Macaca fascicularis: one gene and its partners. The protein of the gene in region 3 purifies or fractionates together with the protein of the main gene of each other region. This does not show direct contact. Links are inferred from orthologs where the notes say so. Each region holds a gene or a part of one and is shown on either strand. Other genes may lie near its edges.

What was found.
Region 1: the proteins of NXF1 (region 3) and RANGAP1 purify together in Homo sapiens (co-immunoprecipitation; 3 studies listed by BioGRID and IntAct, with this or other methods). This does not show direct contact. The link is inferred for Macaca fascicularis from reciprocal best matches to the Homo sapiens genes NXF1 and RANGAP1.
Region 2: the proteins of NXF1 (region 3) and XPO1 purify together in Homo sapiens (affinity purification with mass spectrometry; 3 studies listed by BioGRID and IntAct, with this or other methods). This does not show direct contact. The link is inferred for Macaca fascicularis from reciprocal best matches to the Homo sapiens genes NXF1 and XPO1.
Region 4: the proteins of NXF1 (region 3) and SRSF7 purify together in Homo sapiens (affinity purification with western blotting; 3 studies listed by BioGRID and IntAct, with this or other methods). This does not show direct contact. The link is inferred for Macaca fascicularis from reciprocal best matches to the Homo sapiens genes NXF1 and SRSF7.
Region 5: the proteins of NXF1 (region 3) and NXT2 purify together in Homo sapiens (co-immunoprecipitation; 5 studies listed by BioGRID and IntAct, counting the BioPlex papers as one, with this or other methods). This does not show direct contact. The link is inferred for Macaca fascicularis from reciprocal best matches to the Homo sapiens genes NXF1 and NXT2.
Region 6: the proteins of NXF1 (region 3) and FYTTD1 purify together in Homo sapiens (affinity purification with western blotting; 3 studies listed by BioGRID and IntAct, with this or other methods). This does not show direct contact. The link is inferred for Macaca fascicularis from reciprocal best matches to the Homo sapiens genes NXF1 and FYTTD1.
Region 7: the proteins of NXF1 (region 3) and E3 SUMO-protein ligase RanBP2 purify together in Homo sapiens (co-immunoprecipitation; 5 studies listed by BioGRID and IntAct, with this or other methods). This does not show direct contact. The link is inferred for Macaca fascicularis from reciprocal best matches to the Homo sapiens genes NXF1 and RANBP2.

Annotation. Positions count from the first base shown.
Region 1 is NC_088384.1:10,350,323-10,353,822, reverse strand, and holds part of RANGAP1 (ran GTPase-activating protein 1), read right to left. Parts: intron 1,990-3,500; coding exon 1,855-1,989; intron 1-1,854. UniProt on the Homo sapiens protein: GTPase activator for RAN. Converts cytoplasmic GTP-bound RAN to GDP-bound RAN, which is essential for RAN-mediated nuclear import and export. Mediates dissociation of cargo from nuclear export complexes containing XPO1, RAN and RANBP2 after nuclear export.
Region 2 is NC_088387.1:60,435,405-60,438,904, reverse strand, and holds part of XPO1 (exportin-1), read right to left. Parts: intron 3,437-3,500; coding exon 3,253-3,436; intron 2,942-3,252; coding exon 2,835-2,941; intron 2,303-2,834; exon of another isoform or gene 1,680-2,302; intron 622-1,679; coding exon 427-621; intron 1-426. UniProt on the Homo sapiens protein: Mediates the nuclear export of cellular proteins (cargos) bearing a leucine-rich nuclear export signal (NES) and of RNAs.
Region 3 is NC_088388.1:11,252,347-11,255,846, reverse strand, and holds part of NXF1 (nuclear RNA export factor 1), read right to left. Parts: coding exon 3,411-3,500; intron 1,625-3,410; coding exon 1,588-1,624; intron 476-1,587; coding exon 407-475; intron 327-406; coding exon 271-326; intron 1-270.
Region 4 is NC_088387.1:83,422,969-83,425,874, reverse strand, and holds part of SRSF7 (serine/arginine-rich splicing factor 7), read right to left. Parts: intron 2,721-2,906; coding exon 2,610-2,720; exon of another isoform or gene 1,023-2,609; intron 711-1,022; coding exon 657-710; intron 146-656; coding exon 110-145; intron 1-109.
Region 5 is NC_088395.1:116,105,251-116,109,332, reverse strand, and holds the start of NXT2 (NTF2-related export protein 2), read right to left. Parts: upstream 2,801-4,082; 5' UTR 2,778-2,800; coding exon 2,683-2,777; intron 2,021-2,682; exon of another isoform or gene 1,912-2,020; intron 1,721-1,911; coding exon 1,636-1,720; exon of another isoform or gene 1,540-1,635; intron 1,458-1,539; exon of another isoform or gene 1,262-1,457; coding exon of another isoform or gene 1,250-1,261; intron 616-1,249; coding exon 529-615; intron 1-528. UniProt on the Homo sapiens protein: Regulator of protein export for NES-containing proteins. Also plays a role in mRNA nuclear export.
Region 6 is NC_088376.1:1,073,596-1,077,095, forward strand, and holds part of FYTTD1 (UAP56-interacting factor), read right to left. Parts: intron 2,332-3,500; coding exon 2,219-2,331; intron 1-2,218. UniProt on the Homo sapiens protein: Required for mRNA export from the nucleus to the cytoplasm. Acts as an adapter that uses the DDX39B/UAP56-NFX1 pathway to ensure efficient mRNA export and delivering to the nuclear pore.
Region 7 is NC_088387.1:16,258,093-16,261,592, reverse strand, and holds part of E3 SUMO-protein ligase RanBP2, read right to left. Parts: intron 2,769-3,500; coding exon 1-2,768. UniProt on the Homo sapiens protein: E3 SUMO-protein ligase which facilitates SUMO1 and SUMO2 conjugation by UBE2I. Involved in transport factor (Ran-GTP, karyopherin)-mediated protein import via the F-G repeat-containing domain which acts as a docking site for substrates.

The DNA of each region.
Region 1 (3,500 bases), on a different chromosome or scaffold from region 3:
GTTTGTATTTTTAGTAGAGACAAGGTTTCACCGTGTTAGCCAGAATGGTGTCGATCTCCTGACCTCATGATCCGCCCGTCTCAGCCTCCCACAGTGCTGGGATTACAGGCATGAGCCAACTGCACCTGTCATTTATTTTTTAAAAAATTTTAGGCTGGGCACAGTGGCTTATGCCTATAATCCCAGCACTTTAGGAGGCCAAGGTGGGTGGATCACCTGAGGTCAGGAGTTTGAGACCAGTCTGGTTAACATGGTGAAACCCCATCTCTACTAAAATACAAAAATTAACATGGTGGTGTGCACCTGTAGTCCCAGCTAATCAGAAGACTGAGGTGGGAGGATCACTTGAGCCTGGGAAGCTGAAACTGCAGTGGGCCGAGATTGCTACTGGTGCACTCCAGCCTGGCCACAGAGTGAGACCCTGTCTCAATAAATTTTTTGTTTGGTTCAGGGGCTACACGTGCTTGTTTGTTATGTGGGTTATTCACAGGCCTTTCTAATGCTGTGAGGTTTATTGTCTACATTCGTGATCAAAAGTCACACTACATACTTTAGCTATGTTAGGGATAAATAATGATGTTATTTTTTCCTCATCCATGTTCACAGACCCCTGAATTCTATCCACAGACTGGAGGGGATTAAGAACTCCCATTCGAAGCCCACCAGAGGACACCTATGAAGGCTCAACACAACCACAGCACACCACCTACTCCTAGTGCACTGAGGACAGCGGGCTGAGGGCAGGGAGGGGTCCAAGGATGGCAGCGAGGCCCCCTCCAGCTCGAGGAGGGAGCGGGGGCTCCCCTGCAGCCAGGGGTGCGGGAGACACAAGGCAGATCTCTATGGTGTTCACTTGGCACTGAAGCAGGCAAGGGGTGTCTATAGGCAGGCTCTGTGGGCAGGCAGGACAGTGGGTGCCATTCCGGCCCGTACGAGCAATGCTCCTAGGATACTGTTTGCTGAAGAAAACACTTAAGAGAAGAGGGGCTGGGCGTGGTGGCTCATGCCTGTAATCCCAGCACTTTGGGAGACCCAGGTGGGCAGATCACTTGAGGTCAGGAGTTCGAGACCACCTGGCCAACATGGCAAAACCCTGTCTCTAACAAAAATACAAAAATTAGCCGGGTGTGGTGGTGAGTGCCTGTAATTCCAGCTACTCGGGAGGCTAAGGCAGAACTGCTTGAACCTGGGAGGCGGAGACTGCAGTGAGCCAAGATCGTGCCACTGCACTCCAGCATAGGTGACAGAATGAGACTGCCTCAAAAAAAAAAAAAAAAGAGAAGAGGGAGACAGACCCCAAAGTTTTCAGTCCTGTTAGGGGCAAATGTGGCCTTCTGCTGGCACTCGCAGTCGGGGACTCAGCAATGTCCTGGGGGGATGGGGAGAGGAGAGTGGAAGAAGAGCGGGGACAAGGTCACCTGAGAGCACCTCATCATCTGGCCCCTGAGCCCTGCGGATGCCCCTGCCTGTCTCCCTGTCTTGGGAAGTCTGGTATGTTCCTTCTCTGTGCCCCACACCAGGGGCTGGGCCAGGCTACTGTCAGTACTCCCGCCATCTCATTTCACCACTTCTGAGCCTGGCAGATGACACTCTTTGGTCAGAGCGGCCTGCCTGGCCTGAAGCCCCGCAGGGGGCTGCTGCTGGCTTACCTGAGGGAGCAGTCACACACCTTTCCAGAAATGCATGACAAGAATCCTGGCCCATTTTCAGATGGACTAACAGGCTTGGAGGGGGCACGTGACGCCCCAGGTCTCTCGGCTGAGTGCCAGCCAGGGATTCGCATCCAGGACTGTCAGCCTACTACACCAAGTGCACCTCAGGGTCACGGGGGCAGGATGGACAGAAACCACTCACCCTAAAAGCTTCTGCCAAGGCAGTGGCGCCATCGTTCTCCAGACGGTTTCTGCCAGCCACGAAGACCTTCAGGGCCAGAGGCTTGCCTTGGGCACTGGATTTCCGGTGACACTCGGTCAGAGCTGCAGCCAGGATCTGTGGGGAAAGGTAAGGGGCCCAGGCCATGGGCAGGAGCCCCTTCTCCCAGTGGGGCGGCCACTGCCACTGAACTGCTCTTCAACATCCCATGCCACCCACTGGTGCAGGTCAGGAGACACAGGACTGCTAACAGCACAACTTCCATGTGCCCAGCACTTCAGTTTACAAAAGGTTTTTACATCTAATGCTGTGTCACACCAGCCTGAGAGGTCTAGCTTCGCTTCGGAGACTGAGGAAAGGGAGACACCACATGGAGTGGACGAACTTTCAGCCAGGTCCAGGGGAGGGACTTCCTAGTCAGCTTACTTCATGACTCCTGTTTTCCAGCTGAAGAAACTCAGGGTAAGGGGAACGGAAACTTTCTTATGGTCAATAAACAAGTGGTGGACGCTGGACCAGAGCCCAAATCTTCCAGCTTCTCTTCCACGCACCACAATGTCCAAGGGAGCCAGCTGCCAAGTCCACGGTCCAGAAGGACCTGTCTGATACATGCCTGTATCTAAGCTGGCCAGGCACAGCAGGGGCTTGCCTGTTGGCAGTAAAAACCTAACACCCAGCTTGTCCTGTCCCTGGTGTGGTGCCAGGAAGTAGCTTCTACCCTGGTTACACCAATAGGCAAAGCACTGAAAAACGGAGACTGACAGATGGGAATCACAGCCCATGGTAAATGCGACACAAAAGAATCATGAGCGAGTGCATCAAGAGAGAAGTGAGATTTACGGAACACCTGAAGTTTGCAGAGCACCTGCTAGGGTCTGGGCACCCTCGGCATATTTTCTCGTTTCAACCTCAACACTAGCCTGCGAGGAGGCAGGTGGGATTGGCTGTACTTTACAGATGAGGAAGCTGAGGCTCTGAGAGGTGAGTGAATCGGCCAAGGTCACCCAGCAAATATTTAGCAAAGCCACACATGGCGGGTAGGTTGGCCTAACTCCTGGCATGAGACTGCACATAGCCGTCCTTGAGGAACAGAAGAGCCAGCACCTGCCTGACTCCACGGTGGTGATGGTGGATCAGGTACACACTCAAGGTAGAGGCATCAAACTTCTGCCAAAGACCAGCCTCTGAGGAAGCTCCTCAGCAGCAGCAGCTGACTGCTAGGTCACCCCCATTCTCCCCAATTCCTTGGAGGCCACGTGGTGAGGGCCTTAGCTCCTGAAGGAGTCCAACTTGGGTATGGAGAGTTCCCCAGCACAGGGCCACGCCTCTTGCCCCGTCGACTCCTCTGGGCCCTCTTATTCTCATGGTGCATGGCACAGAAACCACACTAAACACACTGTCCAGAAGAAAAAGATGCCAAAGGACCTGCAGGCTTTGGTTAGACACCCAGACTACGGCGTCTGAGCTCCCAAGAGGCACAGGTTGGCAAGGCCAAGACCCAGAGATCTAATCGAATTAGTGGTCCGAGGCGCAGAGAACCATTAATCAAACTCCACGGTGGGCCTGTCTGCCCAGGAGGCCCTCTGGTCCTGGGGTTCAAAACTCATTCCCCAACTCATCCCACTGCA
Region 2 (3,500 bases), on a different chromosome or scaffold from region 3:
ACCAATCAAGATTCTGTGTAGTAAATTCTTCTTTTTTAAGAAATGGTCTGACTCTGTTGCCCATGTTAGAGTGCAGTAGCATGATCTCAGCAAACTGCCACGTGGAACTCCCAGGCTCAAGTAATCCTCCCACTTCAGTGTCACTGTCGCTCAGCCACTTCAGTAGCTGGGACTACAGGCACATGCCACCATGACTGGTTAATTTTTTAACTTTTTGTAGAGATGAAGTCTCACTATATTGCCCAGGTTGGTTTCAAACTCCTGGGAAGTTCTTGAAAACAAAAAAAGTATTTCCCTAATATACAAGTATAAATATTTAAGCTCCATGGCATTAAAATTATGTTATATCCATAGATATACTTTAGCCTTCAAGAATTAAGGCTATCCGCTAGAATTTTCCCCGTACATAACTGAAATATTACACACCTTATTTATCATATTCAATGTGCATTCAAAAACAGCATCAAATATTTGAGGTATTTCAGCTGTTATATGTCCCCCTAACTTGTTGACAATTATGGCCATAGTACTAAGCACTTCTGGTTCTCTAGCAGCTGGGACATTTCTCTGATAATCAATGAGAACTGCATCCAACAGAGGGGGAACAAAATTTTCAGCTACCTGTTGAGGAGGGAAAAAAAAAGTTATGTTTTAATCTAGGTACGTGGTGACTATTTTAAACAACAAGGTTATTCGTGTCTGTAAGATGTAGCATGATTATCTACTGAAAATAGGAAAATCTTGTGTTTGTATTAGGTTTTCCTACGTTAAAACAGTTTTTAGCAAAAGAAAGCAGGAAATCACAATGGGTTGGGAAGTCTCATGGAAACAGTGTCATTCAAAACTTTTTTTTTTTTTTTGAGACAGTCTCACTGTCACTCAGACCAGAGTGCAGTGGCAAATCTCTGCTCACTGCAACCTCCACCTCCCAGGTTTAAGCAATTCTTGTGCCTCAGTCTCCTGAGTAGCTGGGACTACAGGTATAGCATCATGCCCAGCTACAAAACTCTTATAATAAGGAAAGTGAGGCTCAAAATTCAATTGGTGGCTCCAAGTTAGTGTGGCACAATCAGGATTCAATGTATACTGTATATGTAAGACGGCAGCAAGCGAGCCCTCAATAATGTCTTTTTTTTTTTTTTTTTTTAAGAGGGAGTCTCGCTCTGTCGCCCAGGCTGGAGTGCAGTGGTGCCATCTCAGCTCACTGCAAGCTCCACCTCCCAGGTTCATGCCATTTTCCTACCTCAGCCTATCGAGTAGCTGGGACTACAGGCACCTGCCACCATGCCCAGCTAATTTTTTTGTATTTTTAGTGGAGACAAGGTGTTTCACGAGGTTAGCCAGAGTGGTCTCCATCTCCTGACCTCATGATCTGCCCAACTCAGAATAATGTTTTAATCTAATGAATGCTAACTGTATTTTCACAAGCAGAAATAACATCAATCAATTACTCTCAGAAAATAAGAAAGACTATGGATTTCTATTATTTTTTTGAAACTGAATATTGCCGTGTTGCCTAAACTGGACTTGAAGAGCTGGGGCGATTCTCTTGCCTCAGCCTCCCTAGTGGTTGGGATTACAGGTGCATGCTACGATGCCCAGTAGGATTTTCATGGTTCTAAGTAAACTCAGTTATACTTAATGAGTAACTTCTTGTTCTTTTTTTTTTTTTTTTTGAGATGAAGTTTCGCACTTGTTGCCCAGACTGGAGTGCAATGGTGCGATCTAGGCTCACTGCCACCACCTTCCTGGGTTCAAGCGATTCTCCTGCCTCAGCCTCCTGACCTCAAGGGATCCACCGACCTCGGCCTCCCAAAATGCTGGGATTACAGGCATGAGTCACCGTGACAAGCCAAGACAAGAAAAATAAATGTAATGTTTCATGTGAACAAATATCCCAAACTTTATCATTAATGTTACTTATAAAATATGATACCCCTTTGTATTATTCCCACTGTGCTCCTGACATGTGCCCAAGCTTCTTGTAAACTACAAGCATCACAATTCCTTCAATACATCTTACATTCTGCTTTCACATTTTAAATACAGTTCTGATCACATAATACACATGTTCAGAACCTTTCGATATTTAGGTTAGCCAACTTAAGTATTCCATGAGAATTATATTCAGAACAAGTTTACTGAAAAGTATTTCCTTAACAAGAAACAATACTGAAATTCCAAAATTATTAAAATAACTAGCACACTTGTTAAAGAAAAACAAAAAAAACCCACTATTCCAACTAGTAGTAGTATCAGAATAGAATTTTTTGGAATCTCCCAAGGCTCAAGTGAATAAAAAGAATGAAACCATACAGTTAACACCTAAAAGTAATTCACAATTTTACAAGTTGAGGCATACGCAGCTGGTTTTTATTACTGAAAATGATTTCCTTTTCTGCAAATCATTTAAGAAAAAGAATGTAAAAAAGACTTTCAAGCCTTTAATCTGGGAAGCAATCACTTTGCCAAAGAGGTAAAGTAATGACAACTTTGTAGCTCTAGTAATTGTTCCAAAAATCAAGAGGAATGCAAAAACTGCACCCGTACTCCATTAACTAAATCCTCCTGACCTATCTATGGAAACATAAAATGACCCAATTTTCTTAGCTATCTTGTTACATATCACCACCCTTCGCTATTGATTAACAGCAGTTTCTTTTGAAGATGGAATACAGTATATTAACATTAAGGACTACAATAAATAAAATGCCATAAAATAACTACAAAGTTGATATGCTTTAAATTAGCAAAATGCACATAATAGAGTATAGCACACTCCATAAAACACAGCATCAACACTAAAAACCAAAAGCAAAGCATCTCTCACTTACCATTTGTGGATCATTCGATCGGCTCACCCAACCAGATATTAACTTTAAAGTTTCCCTTTTTACAGTTCGCATACTTCTAATCAATGGTTGCTTTGTAACCATTTCACCTACAAAATTGAATCAAATGGAATCTAATTTTACCACTAAAATTATACAGCGGTACTCAGGTGTACATTAGATGCAATTCCATTTTACCATTAAAAAGTTTAAAGCCAAAACTACACAAGATTTATTGGGAAAATAAGCTTTAAGACTAATTTTAAAAGGGAAAGGTACACATAACTATTTTAAATATGTGTAGGGTCATCTGGGAAATGGGAGGTCTGATTTAAATCTGTGAAAAATATCAAATGTTTGACTTGAGGCAGTAGAAGAGAAGTGTTTATACTGCATCGTATAAGAAATCAGAATCACCTACCATTAGCTTGGATAGCTGCAGAAATATTTTCACTGAGGCACTTGTATACATTAAGCATATCTAAATAAATTCTTCCAAGCTGAATTACAAAGGGGTGTCCAACAGCTTTGCAGGCTCTCACATTTGTCTTCAAAATGCTACCAAGCTGCTTGACTGTTTCAGGATCTTTCAGTATATCCACATTCTTGGAGAAAAAAAAGCAAATTCCATTTATCATGTAAGAATTATCCACATAATGGCCAGGTGAG
Region 3 (3,500 bases):
ACAAAAATTAGCCAGGTGTGGTGGCACACGCCTGTAGTCCCATCTACTGGGGAGGCTGAGGCAGGAGAATCACTTGAACCCTGGGAGGCAGAGGTTGCAGTGAGCCAAGATCACATCATTGCACTCCAGCCTGGGTGACAGAGTGAGACACTGTCCAAAAAACAAACAAACAAAAAAAAAACCCAAAAGAGTGAGGCTGAGGTGTGCCTGGGTCTGCCCACCTTTCCCTGCCAACCCCGGGGTGGGGAGAGGGGGCCCTGGGATACTTACTGTTGTAGGAAGTGCAGGACCAGACTCTTCAAGTTTTCTGTTCCAAAATAGCTTCCCTGAAATCAAACAAGATATTAGGAACATGGAAGCAGTATTCTCTCCACACATAAGTTCTTACTCAGTCCATGCTTCCTACCTTGCAGGGCGGTAACGTCGTGGGGGCTTCAACATCAAAGGCAATTGGCGGGGGTAGCTCATGGCCATCCTGTGGAAAGGAAATAAAAGTTGACAGTGTAGACTGAGCACAGTGGCTCACACCTGTGATCCCAGAACTTTGGGAGGCCGAGGCAGGCAGATGGCTTGAGCCCAGGAGTTTTAGACCAGCCTGGACAACATGGCAAAACCCATCTCTACCAAAAAAAAATACAAAAATCAGCTGGGCGTGGTGGTGTGTGCCTGTAGTCCCAGCTATTTGGGAGGCTGAAGTGGGAGGATCACTTGAACCTGGCAGGCGAAGGTTGCAGTAAGCTACGATTGTGCCACTGCACTCCAGCCTGGATGACAGAGCGAGACCCTGTCTCAAAAACAAAACAAAAGTTGACAGTTTAAACCAGAGAGAAAAAGGCTGGATGCATAAGTAGACTAAAGAACTAACAGAGAAGGATCAGAAGTCACGTATAAAAGCATCATGAAAAGTATCCAGGAATCCAGGCTGGGCACAGTGGCTCATGCCTGTAATCCCAGCACACTGGGAGGCCAAGGTGGATGGATTAGTTGAGGTCAGGAGTTCAAGACCATCCTGGCCAACATGGTGAAACCCCCGTCTCTACTAAAAATACACAAAGAAATTAGCTGGGCGTTGTGGCACATGCATGTAATCCCAGCTACTTGGGAGGCTGAGGCAGGAAAATCGCTTGAACCCAGGAGGCGGAGGTTGCAGTGAGTCTAGATTGCACCGCACTCTGGATAACAGAGCAAGACTCCATAAACGGCCTGGCAAGGTGGCTCACGCCTATAATCCCAGCACTTTGGGAGGCCAAGGTGGATGGATCACCTGAGGTGAGGAGTTTGAGGCCAGCCTGGCCAACATGGTGAAACCCTGTCTCTACTAAAAATACAAAAATTAGCCAGGCGTGGTAGCACATGCCTGTAATCCCAGCTACTCGGGCTCAGTAAACTGTGGCAGGAGAATCGCTTGAACCTGGGAGGCGGAGGTTGCGGTGAGCTGAGATCACGCCGTTGCACTCCAACCTGGGCGATAAGAGTGAAACTCCGCCTCAAAAAAAAAAAAATAATAAAAAGAAAAAGAAAACTATCCAGGAATCCTTGTGAGTGGGAGACACTGTGCTTGTTAGAATGAAAAAATTATGGACTTACCAGGCGTAATAACTTGGGAAATCGTTCGCGAATGGCGCTGTCAAGAACGGGACAGAAGTAAGTGATGCTTCAGAGCCACCGTGCCTCCTGGGCTGCTCTAGGAGCAAATATACCAAACCCGAGGGACAGCCCATCCCATCCTGCTCATCCCTCCACTCCCTCCCAGCCTGTGCTCAGGGAAAAATGGCCCCACTCCCCACCTGACCCGGGGCACCCAGACATGGACTGCCTTGAAGGCTGTCTCTTTTCTCTCTGCCTGACCCTGAGTGTCAAGGAGCAGTACTCCAAACCTAGGCTTTAAGCCCAGGACCTCTTTCCCCTCCCTGCCCCCCTTACCTTCCACCTACTCACCTGTGCAGCCCCGGGAGGAGGGAATGGGGTGGGAGCCCAGGGGCTCCGCTGCCTCACCAGGTATCCATCAGTTCTGCCAGGTCTGGCCTTGGCCAAGACCCAAACACACCACAGGGATGGCACAGGATGTTGGGGCAGGGAGATGAGCAGGTGGGGCTCAGGAAGAGGAGAAGCCAAGGAGTAAGAAAGGAGAGGAAAAGGAGGAAAAAGAGAAGAAGGCAAGATGGGGCAGGGGCAAGGCAGAGATGGGGAGGTATAGGAAACACAGAAGAAAAAGAAAGAGAAAGCAAAGAAAAAGGGAAAAGAACTACAAGGCAAAAAAGCATCTAGAAAAATGAGGGAGAAAAGGGAGAAACTGACACAGCCCTTTCTTTCAGCTGCCCCATCCCTGTGGTCCAAGGTAGAAATGAGAAACAAATCCTTGCTGTGGTGAGTGGGCACTTGCTGTTGGCCAGGTCTCTGTCTGCTACCTGGGTCCCGATCTGAGCTGGGCGTGGGGAGCAAAGCAGCCATGGGGGCAGGAGACCTCCCTCAGAAGGTGTGAGGGTTCAGGCCCTTGCAGGATTGTGGGGGTGAGGGTCCGTGCCCCACCTCTGTTGCCCCCAAGTTATCTCCTGATGGCCCCTCTGCGACTGTGCCTGTCTTAGGTTGTTCCTTCCCTGAGGAATCTTACCCGTCTCTGGCTAACCAGCCATCCACCGGGGCCAAACAGGGTGACGTGCAGTGTGTGAGTGAGGGAGAGGCAGCGCCCCCGAGGGGCTCAGTTCTCTGTCTCCTTGGTAGCCTATGCCCCCGTGGCCTCCACGCCCAGCACCTGCCTTGGGATTCCCTCGCCTGCTGGCGGGGCCCCAGCTCTGATCACGTCTTGGGGAACCCAGGTTTCTTCTTCAGGGAGATAGACAGATTGCATGCCACCAGCCCCTAGGAGGCCTCAACCTCAGCATGGGCAGGAATGCCCAGGCAACAACCCTGGGCAAGTGGATCCTGAGAAAAGGGTCCCTCTTCGCGCAAGGGCAAGAGGGACCATCACAGTACAAAGGACGGAAGGCCCATCTCAGTAAGGAAGTCCCAGGCAGGGAGGGCTTCCTCCGCCCACGGACATCAGGCTCTTGGTATAAGGCCACTCCATCTATAGGGTATGTACAAATACCCTCTGGTCAGAGTAGAAAGGAGAGATGCCTTTCCTGGAACAACAGGGTAGGGAGATTCTAGAAAAGGTTGTGTTCAGGAAGAAAGAGAAAGGCCACAGACCCAGCAAACAGATAGTCAGGTCAGAAGAGAAGAGAAAGGATCTCAGGACAAAGCTGGAAGACATAGACAGACCAAAGTGGGGAGCACGTGATCCTCCCAAAGGACAGGTGGTTCCAGCTCAGGGCTGCACATCTCCGCAGACGGGCCCTGGTCAGGATGCATTAGCTCAGCCTCCCAGGGGGTGAAGGTCCCCAGGAGGGGAGACACAGGCTACAACTGACCTGATGTAGGTGGACTGGTCTCGGAAGGTGTCACACAAGGAGTTTCCGTCGAGCCAGAGCTCTTCTAGTTTCAGCCCCTTTATCTTGTCC
Region 4 (2,906 bases), on a different chromosome or scaffold from region 3:
TATAGCACCAATTCTCCAAAGAGCTCAAAGACTGCAAAGCAGTAAGCAAACAAATTCTGCAGAGGCCACACTTGACAGGCAAGATCTGGCAACAAAACATTTAGCTTACCTTCTTTTTGGAGATGGAGATCTGGACTTTGATCGGCTGTCAAAACATGAGAAATTCTATTAAAGAAAGAGTACTAACCAATCCCTTTCTTGTAGTCACCAATACCGTAAAACAAACCCCCAAAGGTCCTAAGCTTAAAATGTCAGACTGCACTTAAACTGAAAAACATCCTACCAGTTGTTGCTAACAAAGGCCAATCTTCCAACAACTGTTTTTCAAAAAAATGAATCAATTACTGTATCATGATTAATCTTTTACATTGCATATTAATTTCAGGATGCTTCTCCATGCACCTATCAGTTCTAACAAGGGCCTCTTTAATATAATCCCCAAAGTCACAAACGTCTTTCTCACTACAGTTTTACATTCCCTTTTTCAGGGAAAGTCAGTCAGTAATAAATAGGACATACACAAATAAGGTACTGTGTTCCCACTAACAACTAAGTTTAGAGTTAACACTTAAAATTTCAACAATTAAAAAACACTTTGAACTCTTTGGATATTGGTGCCATATAACTAGAAGAGCATAATCAAATTTTTACCCTACCTGCTTCTTGGTCTTGAAATAGACCTGGATCTTGATCTTGACCTCGACGGGGATCTTAATAAAAAAGTGAAAAACACAATTATATCAATTATCCAAAGGAATTTCCTTAAACAACTACTCAACACTGTATTAGGTAGGTTAGGCGTAGAGAAGCTAAGACTAAGCAAGATACACCACTTGCCTTATTCTAAACACACTTTCAAACAAACTGTTATGAGACATAAGGAACCACCATTTCAATTACTCGTTTCTATCACTCAGCTGGTTACAGTTCCCGTACAGGAATATTCTCAAACACTGTGTAACATCCAAGGGAAACACATGGTTTTCATTTGATAAGACTGGTATGAAGGAAGCAAAACTAACCTCACTTAAGGCACAGATTCCTCAGCTGGGCACTGTGGTGCACAATGGTAGTCCCAGCTACTCAGGAGGCTAAGGCAGGATGAAAATAACCAGACCCCAGCTGGTGTGGTGGTTCACGCCTGTAATCCCAGCACTCTGGGAGGCCAAGGCATGTGGATCACAAGGTCAGGAGATAGAGACCATCCTGGCTAACATGGTGAAACCCCGTCTCTACTAAAAATACAAAAATTAGCTGGGCATGGCGTTGTGCACCTGTAGTCCCAGCTGCTGGGGAGGCTGAGGCAGGAGAATGGCATGAACTCAGGAGGCGGAGCTTGCAGTAAGCCAAGATTGCGCCCCTGCACTCCAGCCTGGGTGACACACAGAGACTCCATCTCAAAAAAAAAAAAAAAGAAAATAACCAGACCCCTGAACTGAGACTAATTCAGGTGATAAGGCCAGACGAGAAGAAAGCCACCACTTAATAAGGCTTTACATTCCTGGATCGTTACGTTTGAGAGCCATCAATTTGTCAGACAAACCAAATCGGACATATCTATCTTTTAAATATATCTAATGAGATAGTCCATAGCTTTCTCAAATAGACCACAAGATTCAGAGTTCCTGCATTTAAAGGTTTTGTGCTACTAAACAGCAATTTAACTCCCAGTAGCATTCTGTACCACTGTTTTATCATTGATACAGATAATATTGTTGGGCCAGGCGCGGTGGCTCAAGCCTGTAATCCCAGCACTTTGGGAGGCTGAGGCGGACAGATCACAAGTCAGGCGATCAAGACCATCCTGGCTAACACGGTGAAACCCCGTCTCTACTAAAAATACAAAAAATTAGCTGGGCGTGGTGGTAGGCGCCTGTAGTCCCAGCTACCAGGGAGGCTGAGGCAGGAAAGTGGTGTGAACTCAGGAGGTGGAGCTTGCAGTGAGCAGAGATTGCACCACTGCACTCCAGCCTGGGCGACAGAGCGAGGCTCTGTCTCACAATATTGGAATATTATTAATTACATATTACAATACTCATTTTACAATTTTTTCCACTCTATCTCCTTTTAAGGCCGCCTACAAAGAGTAAAGCTCTGGTTCTTAAGTTTGTTTTTTCAGGTCTCTGTCCAAAAAAAAAATCCACATTCATTTGTATGTACACACTACTGCCCCAACTTTCCAGTGTCTCCAATCAACACCATCATTCCAAAAATGAGAAATGTTTCTACTTGCTTCTAATCTCTTTTCCTGGTTCTAACAGGCCTTTTTGTCGGGAAAATCAATTACCATCTTTCAGAGCTAGTATCATCTAATCTGAAGCCACAAGTTTATAGCAATATGCCTATCCAGAGTGTTCACTAAAATTGTGTTGCTTTGGACCTTTCTCTACCACCATGGCCTCTCTAACAAGCCTTAAAATCTCTAGTAGCCCTTTTCTTCATCTGTAAAACTAGATTAATATTTATGTTACAAGTTACATATCAATTCCAAACTTTTACATCTCAAATATTCCCTGCAACAATCCATTTGAATTATGTCTTTAAGACACTCTACTGCTGTGAAGATGTGAACAACCCAAACACAAGTAAGAAAAGAAAGTGTTACATACTGGAAATACCTCGATCCTTTTATAGAACCAGACCTAGATCTTCTGAGTGAAGCTGATCTTGATCTACGAAGAGAGATAGATCTTGATCGTCGAGGAGATGCTGACCTTGACCTAAAATAAAGAACTTTAAGTCCATCTCCACATTTTTTTTTTGGCCTGTTAAGACTTCAATTGGGGAACGGTGCAATGGCTTATACCTGTAATCCCAGCACTGGTCTCAAGCCCAGGAGCTTGAGACCAGCCTGGGAAACAGTGCAAGACCATTTCTACAAAAAGAAAAACTAGCTGGGTATGGTG
Region 5 (4,082 bases), on a different chromosome or scaffold from region 3:
TGAGGACTTAATATTATCCATGCTACATGCATACTTTTTGTGGGTGTAAGCTATACTTCTGAACCATAATCAGAAATTACCTATAAATATATGAAATAAAAGGGACGAATCAGGAAATATTCCCGGTAATGACCGACCCCTCCATTAGCACTAATACTACCTTAACCATATTGGTTAACTGATGGAACTAAGAAAAGGAAACATATTTAAGTGAATATATGCTGGGCCCAATGTTAAGTGCGGTATTTTAATTAATTCATACTTACCAACCTGAAAAGAAAATGAGGTTGAGGGAAAATGACAGCTTGCTCCAGGTTAAAAAACTAGGTAAAGGTAAACCTGGGATATGATTCCAGAGCCCATGTTCCCATGAATGCCATACCAATCCTTCCCTGAGCAATTTGCTTTTAAAGGGTAAGTCCACAGTTACCACTTATGCAAGGCAGATGAAACGCTGGCTCCAGACACGACCTGGTATTTAATAACAAGTAGTAGTCTAAAAACAGTAGTAGAGTCTATAACACTCACCCGTCTTCTTTTATCCATTGTCTCATAGTAAATATTGACAAACTCCTCAGCAGCTCTACATGCCTGATCTACATAAGTTTTAAAATCCTACAAGAAAAATTCCGGAAGTATAGATTACCAACCGTTTCAACCCCTCACAAACACAAAACCACTGACAGAAGCTGATGATTTATTTCAACCACCATGTAGTTCTATATATAGTCCACATTCTTTCATATAAATTCAGACATTTTAAAGGCTGGACTCTAAAGTTTGCAATTTTAAAATTTTTCACTAACTTTAAGTGCATGTCTTTAGGACATAATCTTCTCAATGAATCTGAGTCTTTTTCAGTCTCTACATATAAATTTATAATCTTTTCTTGGCAACTAAGTACTTTAGACTTTCAATATTTTACAAACATTCACGGCAATGAAAATGACACCACCTGACCCTTAGAAAAGGAGAGCGAGCGGCGAAAACTGCCACTGAATAAGCTAGGCAAGTGTTTTCTCTTTTCCAAGTGAGATGTTAGGGCCAAACTCCAAAGTTGTTGAACGGAACACACACACACACACACACACACACACACACCCCAAAGTAGTTCAACTACTTGAAAAACTGGCAGCTCCACTTAGGAAACTTTCCCACATTACGTGAACTTTCACTGCTGTTTGCATAAGAACCGTGAAACCGAAGAAAGCAACGCTGTTGGCGTTCGTGCCGGAGAATTAAGGAATACCTTCCTTCTCATTCATTTACGGGGCCCAGTCTATTACAGAATTAAGAACAATGAATCGCCAGTTTGTCAGGTAACTGAAAGTGATTTTTAGAGAGGAAGATAATCGAGAAAAAGAGACTGCAAGCCATAAACAACAAACCCCAAACCCCCGCCTCTCGCTATTTCGCAGCTCAGGGTCCTTTCCGGGACCAGAAAGCGACAGCAAAACAGGCGGGGTTGGGGCCGGCAAGGCGGGCAGCAAAACGTGGGCCCCGCCCCGCAGTACAGAGAGCCGGGCCGTGATTCGTCACCTATCCACGTGAGCAGCAACCAGACCGCCCCGGAGTCCCTCCAATCAGCCACTGGAGTCCGGCGCCCAGCAGACCTGCCACAGCCCAAGCACTCACCACAGACATGGCCATCGGGGAGCCTGCAGCAGCGTGTTCCGGCAGTGGCGGCGTCACTACCTCCTCACGTGTCCGGCCCCCACAGCTGCGGAATGATCAATACTTATGAAGAGAGCGAAACCCGCCAAACGCACAGAATTTTCCACCCTCCCATTCTCTCCCGGAAGTAGCTCGGTCCGTCGTTAAAAGCACACCGATGTTCCAACCTTAAGTTCCACCGCCCTTCAGTTCCTGCAGATCCCTCCCATCCGCCTTATCTACTTGTTTGATACTTACTTAGTTTAAAATTTAAAAACCACTTCGCTTTTGTAAACATGATACTCAAAAGGAAAGTCCCTTAGTTTTCTACCGACAAGCCTGGGGACAAGCAAAAATGAAAGTGTTCAATTACAGGGACTTTTTTTGCCCCAGGAGGCGGAGCCAAAGTCCTCTGGAGACCAATTCGAAATGCGAGACCTCCTATTCCGTAGCCTATAGGATAAATGGGCGGAGCTTGGGGAAAGGCGTGCATGAATAGTGAACAATTTAGCATTCTGGAACATTCTGGAAGGATCACCCTCACTGAATTACTATGTTTTGGCAGTATGCCTAAAATTACTGTTTCATTTTAACCTAGCCATATTCAACAGGAAAAGTTCATCTAGTTTCCCCATTCTGGCATTTTACAATGTCTTGCAGACACCAACAAAAATTAAGTTCACAGTGCCATTCACCACCTTTTAAGGGCTATTTATTCTGCAAAGTATTCTAACAATAACTAAAATGTGAAGCGCTGACTGTATGTAAGGTGCTTTTCTAATCAGTTTTACATATATCCACTTATTATAACAATGCTGAGGTAATTGCTATTATTTTATAATCTTCATTTTACAGCTAAGATGGAGTGAATCTGCCTACGGTAACAGACTAGTTGAGATTCAAACTCAAGCAATATAACTATCACGGCAATCTGGCTTTGCTCCCCAACACCCCTTAAAAACCTCTCATCCCAAAGCCGCCAACGACTTCTGATTTAAATGGCAAATTAATTAGATGTTGTAGTTTTACCTTGAGTGGCTGGTGTGTGGTCCCTCATAATAGTGACTTCTTCTTTGGTGTCTTTCTCTGTCTCCCTGAGACCAGTGGCTTCTGCACTTTCTCATACTTTTAACCTTTCTCTTTATCTGGCTCTTTTCCTTTTAAGGTAGTGCTAACGGAAGCTGCTTCTCGGCCACTCTGCTTCCGTTTTCCGCTAACCTAACCTCTGACTGGCGTCACTTCCGGTGCATCCCCCCTTTTAAAGCCTCCCTTCTTCAGGGTGATGTAAATTGCTACCCGTATGCTAATGAATCTTAACAACCTATCCCAAGCCCGCACCGCTTATCTGAGGTCCAGTTACACATATGAATTTTGCTAAACATGAACACGAGTGCACTATAGGCTTCTTAAACTTGTACGTGCAAAATTTAAACTCATTATTTCCTCTGCACTTCCAAACTTTTGTATTCTCCCAGTCGCCTATCTTGAATTCTCGGAATCTTTATTTTTTTGGTTCCCTCTCCTCCTTATCATGATTCATTCAATAAATATTTATCAAGTAGTCACTGTGTGCCAAGGATTGTGCAAGGCTCTGTATATATAGTGGAGAATAAAATGGACATGTTTCGTATTCTTATGAGGCTCAAAGTGTAATGAGAGTGCTAGACAATAAACATAACATCAATGAGTTACAAAGAAATACTGAGTAACTTGCTTAGTTCTGACCATTCCCTATAGCAATCCTTCTACCCTTCTCCCTCTTCCCTTTTTTTTTTATTTCTTTTTTTTTTTTTTTTTTTTTTGAGACGGAGTCTGGCTCTGTGGCTCAGGCTGGAGTGCCGTGGCATGAAGTTGGCTCACTGCCAACCTCCGCCGCCTGGGTTCGAGCAATTCTCTTGCCTCAGCCTCCCGAGTAGAGTAGCTGGGACTACAGGCACGAGCCACCAGGTCCGGCTAACTCTTTTCCTTTTTCTCCCTCTCTCTTTTTGGCTCTCTCCCTCCCTTTCTCCCCCACACTTCTCTCACTTTTCCCGTCTCGTTCTCTCCTCCCTCTCTCCCCCCGAACTTCTCTCCCTTTCCCCTTCTCATTCCCCCTCTCATTCTCTCCTCCCACACAAACTTTGATAACTCTATTGCCTATTTTCTTCCAAACTCATAATCTTTAAATACCTACCTTGGTCTGATCTGAATTTATTTTCCCAGGCTATTCTCCCAAATTCACCAACACTGGCAAAGTTAACTACTACTGGTTGCCAAGAATGACTGATGTTTACTGCTTTATTGGTGATTGTTTTTCTTGATTGAGAGATTGTGTTTTATATGATTTCATTCAATCCTCAAGACCCCCAGAAAGGCAGACATTATTATCTAGATTTTTTAAAATTTAAACTTAAGTTTAAAGAAGTTAAGTAAATTGGTTAAGATGATAC
Region 6 (3,500 bases), on a different chromosome or scaffold from region 3:
TCACACCTGTAATCCCAGCATTTTGGGAGGTTGAGGTGAGTGGATCACTTGAGGTCAGGAGTTCAAGACCAGCCTGGGCAACATGGTGAAATCCTGTCTCTACTAAAAACACAAAAGCTAGCCAGCCTTGGTGGCACGCGCCTGTAGTCCCAGCTACTCAGGAGGCTGAAGCATGAGAATTGCTTGAATCAGGGAAGCAGAGGTGCAGTGGGCCGAGATCACGCCACTGCACTCCAGCCCAGCGACAGACTTCATCTCAAAAAATAAATAAACCACAGAAAAACTTATACTCTTCTGTTTCTTGTTCTTTCATGCACAGAACAATGCTGTTAATTATGTTTGACTTTCACCAATTCTTTTTTCTTTTTTTAATTTTACTTTAAGTTCCGAGACACATGCTGAACACGCAGGTTTCTTACGTAGGTGTATATGCGCCATGGTGGTTTGCTGCACCTAATTTCTTGTTTTCTACAGGAAGTTGGTGAAGTATGAAAAATTAAAATTTCATATTTATGCAATATTCAATCCTCTAATATTCCATGTCTTCAACTGATCTATTGATGAATATGAAACACTATACAAACAAGTGTTCATTAGATTCCTTAGTCTTACCTCCAATCTTTCAGAGATTCAAGTTCAAAATTTCCCTAGCTAACCCAATTAACATGTAAGTCTCATGTAAATGATGGGTTCTTATTTGAGAAGGTACCTTATTATCAAGTGATTCCCAAAAGATGATGGTTAAAACTGCAATTCCAGCCATTACATTTTTTGTTTTGTTTTTTATTTTTTATTTTGTTTTAGACAGTTTCACTGTTACCCAGGCTGGAGTGCAGTGGCACGATCTTGACTCACCGCAATCTCTGCCTCCCAGGTTTAAGCGATTCTCCTGCCTCAGCCTCCCAAATAGCTGGAACTACAGGCATGCACCACCATGTCCAGCTAATTTTTATATTTTTAGTAGAGATGGGATTTCACCATGTTGGCCAGGCTGGTCTCGAACTCCTGGCCTCAGGTGATCTACACGCCATGGCCTCCCAAAGTGCTGCGAATACAAGCATGAGCCACTGTGCCCAGCCACTGCATTTTTAAAAAACTCCATTCCAGGTTTTGTTTGCTGAATAATCTTCCACGAGAGATAAATAAATAGTACTTGAAACCGAATAAGGAAACTTCACACCTCATTAACTTCATCTACTTTGTCCTTACAGAGAACAGAATGCCGTAACAACAGATCATAATTTTTCTTTTTTTTTCAGAGATGGGGGTCTCACTATGTTGCCCAGGTTAGCCCTGAATCCTGGGCTCATGTGATCCTTCTGCCTCAGCCTCTTAAGTAGCTGGGACCACAGGCACATGCCACTGTGCCCAGCTCACAGGCCATAATTTTTGGTTTTTATTATTCAACTTAGTATAAAAATAATTTCAGTTTAACAAGTGTTCATCAAGAATTCCTCCTTTCTAGTTTGATTTTTCCACAAATAACATACATTGTGATTCAGTGTTCTAGTAAGGGCCATCCAGACTGAGTAACAAATTGAGCTTTCAGAATTCCCAATTTTGAATAATTCCCACTGAGATGTTAAGAGTTCTACCAGGGCTGGGCACAGTGGCACATGCCTGTAATCCCAGCACTTTAGGAGGCTGAGGTGGGAGGATCACTTGAGGCCCGGAATTGAGACCAGCCTAGGCAACAGGGTGAGACCCTGTCTCTACCAAAAAAAAAAAAAAAAAAACAACTAGCAGGGCATGGTGGCATGTATCTGTGGTCCCATCTACTCAGGAGGCTGATGTGGGAGGATCACTTGAGTCCGGGTGGGGGTTGAGGCTCCAGTGAGCAGTGATGGCGCCACTGCACTCCAGCCTCAGCAATAGAGCGAGAAGACCCTGTCTCAAAAAACAGGAAAAAAAAAAAAAGAGAGAGAGTTCTACTAAAGTGATCAGCTTTTGCAATTTTATTCCATGTGTCAAAGGGGTAAAGAAGCAGAGTGATGCTTTTTAAAAAGCTGATATTGGTTAAATTCATCAGTAAGAATTCATCTAATAAACGAGCTATTACTGGATACATCCATGTGGATGCTCAGATAGACATCCCAAACATCTGTCTTGAAAATGACCAGATAACTAAAAAAATCACTGCAAATCTATTCTTCACACCACTTAATGCAAGAAGTGTTTTTTAATGCAAAATAACACATCATCATATTTGAGTACTTACTTTCTGTTTAGCTGGTTAGGTCTCTTGAGAACTGCCACTGGTTTCCTCTGCCCTTCATTTTGTCTCAGAAGGTTTGCCTTCCTTTTTAACACTGGAAAATATTGTTCTATATTCTATCAGAAGGCAAGAAACTATGTTAATCAAATTGCATTTTTCTATATACCCTACTACAATAAACATTTCTGATGCAGAATGAACAGGGATTGACAACAGCTTGAATGTGTAGATAAGGGAGATGGAGAAACAGCTTGAAAATTTACAGCCTAAGCGATTGGAAAGATGAAAACCCCACATTATACTTAAAATATGTGAGGTACTCACGGGACCCACAGGTGCTGGGGAATTGTGGCTCCGCAACTCAAGAGAAGAATCAGAGGGCCAGAGATATAAATTAGGGAATAATTTATATAAACATGATTTTTGATACTAATAGATTTTAAAAAGCCAAGTTCCAAAACAAATGCCGAAAACAAGAAAAAGCGGGGAAGTCATGACAGCAAAGGAGCTGGAATAGACATGGTCAGAGGCAAAAAGTACCACAAAAAACAAAAGCACATGAAACACCCTCTTTTTCTTCCTCCATATATGTAAATTAAATCCACCATTAAAGCCTAATTCAGATATTCATATTGTCCATAAAGACTTCTCAAAAGTTCTTGACAAATACGAACGTTATCTTATACTTTATCTGGATTCTTCTATTAAGTATATGAGAAGTACTTCATAAATATCCACTGACTGACTCACATTAAAAAGTCTTAATTTGGTCAGGCACGGCGGCTCACGCCTTTAATCCCCACACTTTGGGAGGCTGAGGCAGGTGGATCACGAGGTCAGGAGTTTGAGACCAGCCTGGCCAACATGGTGAAACCCCATCTCTACTAAAAATACAAAAATTAGCCAGTCATGGTGGCACACACATGTAGTCCCAGCTACTCGGGAGGCTGAGGCAGGAGAATTTCCTGAACCCAGGAGGCGGAGGTTGCAGTGAGCCAAGATTGCACCACTGCACTCCAGCCTGGGCGACAGAGTGAGACTCTATCCCCACCCAAAAAAACCTCAATTTTCGGCCAGGCATGGTGGCTCACGCCTGTAATACCAGCATTTTGGGAGGCAGAGGGGGGCAGATCACTTGAGGTCAGGAGTTTAAGACTAGCCTGGCCAACATGGTGAAACCCCATCTCTACTAAAAATACAAAAATTAGCCAGGCATGGTGGCACACACCTGTAATCCCAGCTACTCAGAAGGCTGAGCCAAGATCACGTCACTGCACTCCAGTTG
Region 7 (3,500 bases), on a different chromosome or scaffold from region 3:
GTGAAAGCTGAAGGAGCTTCTGCAATAGGTTTATGAGTTGGTTTAGAGGCATCACAAGCCACACATGTTAAGGAAGAACTCTCATTTTGTACACAGCAAACACTACAATCCCACTGTCCTTTCTTGATGAACATTCCTTCAAATCCACTCTTTGGAGCCTTGCTTACCTCCGAAGAGGTAGGTGTTGAAATTGCAGTTGTTTGATTTTGTTTACTTGGATACTGACAAGCAATACATTTGGTAGTACTGGCTTCATTTCTTACTAAGCACATACTGCAATCCCACTGTCCTTCCTTCTTAGTGAACATTCCCTCAAATCCACTCTTTGGAGCCTTGCTTGTCTCTGAAGAGGCAGGTGTTGAAATTGCAGTAGTAGTCTGATTTTGTTTACCTGGATTCTGACAAGCAATACATTTGGTAGCACTGGCTTCATTTCTTAGTAAGCACACACTGCAATCCCATTGTCCTTCCTTCTTAGTGAACATTCCCTCAAATCCGCTCTTTGGAGCCTTGCTTGTCTCTGAAGAGGCAGGTGTTGAAATTGCAGAAGCAGTTTGATTTTGTTTACCTGGATTCTGACACGCAATACATTTGGTGGCACTGGCTTCATTTCTTACTAAGCACACACTACAATCCCATTGTCCTTCCTTCTTAGTGAACATTCCCTCAAATCCGCTCTTTGGAGCCTTGCTTGTCTCTGAAGTACCAAACTTAAAAGAGGCAGGAGCTGAAACAGAAGTAGATGGACTTGGTTTATCTGGATTCTGACAAGCAACACATCTTGTAGCATTTGCTTCATTTCGCACTAAGCATGAACTGCAATCCCACTGTCCTTCCTTCTTAGCAAACATGTCCTCAAATCCACTTTTTGGAGTTTTACTTGTCTCTGAAGTACCAAACTTAAAAGAGGCAGGTGTTGGAATAGCAGTAGCAGGTAGACTCTGTTTTCTCGGATTCAGACAAGCAGCACATTTTGTAGAGCTCCCCTCATTTTGTACCAAACATACACTGCACTCCCACTGTCCTTCCTTTGTAGAAAAAACAGATCTGAAGTCACTGTTAACAGGTTTAGGAAGATCTCCCTGGCCAAATGTAAATGAAGCCTGATGAACAAATGAAGATCCACTTTTGTTAGCAGATTTTGTGTTCTGACACGCAATGCACCTAGATACAGTAGGTTCATTTCTTACTAAACAAATACTACAATCCCAGTGACCTTCTTTCTTTGGAGTCATCAATGCAAATCGATCTTGAATATTCTCTGGGCCAGTTTTAGGAGTAAAAACAGTTTCAGATAATGGTGGGCCAACGAGTTCTTTATTGCTTGGGTTTAGATTTTGGCATGATACACATTTCTTAGCAGTTGCAGCATTCTTTAATGAGCAGCTGTTACAATGCCACCAAGACCCTTCTTTCTTTCCAACTTGAAATTCAAAATTCATGTTTCCAGCATCAGATTTGCAAATATCCTTGTTATCATGACTTGTGGGTTCTTTTACAATTCTGATAGCCTGATTTGATGCTGTGGCTACATTTGTTCCTGGGGCTTTTAAAATGCTCTGGGCTTCTTCAAACTTGCACTTAAAAAGTGCTGCTTCCTCAGGAGTTTTGAACCTAATAGCAAGTTGTTCTGGTTTTGGCAACTCATCTGCATAATCAAGGGCATGCCAGACAAAAGATCTGTCTGATCCAGCATTTGGTGTCAATTTCATATCTGGACTGATATAATGATTTGCACAGATTTTCAACACTTGCTCTCGTCTCATTAGAAGGCGAATTTTACCAGATGTTTTATGCCTCAGTATTTTTACATTGCCAATCCCACGTTCCTTCCATTCTTTGGATTCTACATCAAAACGGAACAATTTCGCACGGTTGCAAAAGAATTCTTCTTCATCTTCCTCACCAGTTTTTACTTCAATCTTATCAGGAAGAGGTACTACAGGCTCAAAGTGAGGACCATCATCATCATCATCCCCATGGGCACTTCCTCCATCTGTCTCATGGTTCTTGTTTGCTGTCTCTAAAGTGGGTGTTCCAAATACTGATTTCCCTGGACCACGGAAAGTAAACATATCATCACTTCGCCGAAAACCAGAATTCTTTTGCTGAGCTGACCCCATGTTTTCTGTAAACGAAATTCCAGACACATTTTTGCTTCCAAAATTGAATGTATTTCGAGGCCCAATGGTCTGACCACCAGGAACTGGTTTGGGTCCACTATAGCCATCTCCTTGCAAGGGTTTATCTGAAGTCAGGAGACCTAAAAGGCTTTCACTGTTACTGTAAGCTGCAGGAGGGGGCTGTGTCACAACCTGTGGTGAGGAAAATGTGAAGTCACCATCATTTGATTTGAAATTTGAGTTAAATTTAAAAGGAGGTGGCTGTGTTGTGTGTGCTGGTGTTGGCAAAGATGGCCTTATTCCTTCACCTGGCATGGGCTGAACAAAATTAGTTTTCCCAAATTCTATAGTCTTAGATTCTGCAGATCTTGAAGCATGAGCTGCAATTGGAGGTTTTGTGAAATATCCTGGTTCTGGCAAAGGTGGATTTGTGCTTGTCTGCTGAACATTGTAATTAAAGTAATCATCACCCCTGGGCGATAGAATTCCTGTTGCAGGAGACTCAAAACGCAATGCAGGAGGACCATACATCTCCTGAGAGAACATACAAGCAGATGAGCTTTGCACTGGTGGTGTGTGCATCTGTTGCGGATAGGCATAAATATGCTGTTGGGGTGGAAGCCTATTCATGCCATAGACTGGGCCCTAGAAGACAGAAAGTTAAAACATTTTGTAGATTGTCTACAAAACTACAGATAACTAAATGCAAACCAATTCTCACAAACTTCAAACATGAATATTAAGTGAAGAAGATATCATTAGGGGATGTAGTACACATCATTAACCCGTTTATGCCAGAGGCTGCAAATTTTCTGTGTGAAAAATCAGACCTTGGCAATGACCCTGAGCAGTAAGATATAAATAACTCCCAAAAGCTTAGTGTTCCAATAATGGAACACTAGGCATAAATAGGTTAAGAGAAAACCACATTGCTACAAAGATACTTGCATATATACTTGGCATATAATGAAAATTAATTACAGCATCTTAAAATCTACAACTAAAGTCATAAAATAAATACCATCTTCATTCCTAAACAATTTATCAAATGATGTTAATAATGATGATGATGATGATGATGGTAACATTTATTGAGCATTTATTAATGTGCCAGCTGGGCACTATTCTAAGCACTTTACATTATTATCTCATTTTAATATCCTCAAAAACCCTATGAATTAAGGTATTATTATTATCCTCATTTTACATATGAGGCAACTGATGCATTGAGAGGTTAAGAAACTTGCCTGTGGTCAAAATAAGCAGAAGAGCAAGGGTCTAAATGCACCCCATCACTCTGTCCTCAAAGCTATCACATTCAACTACCACTGTAATTTTGAGTCTTCAATCAATTGTTATATATATAGCTGTATCAGG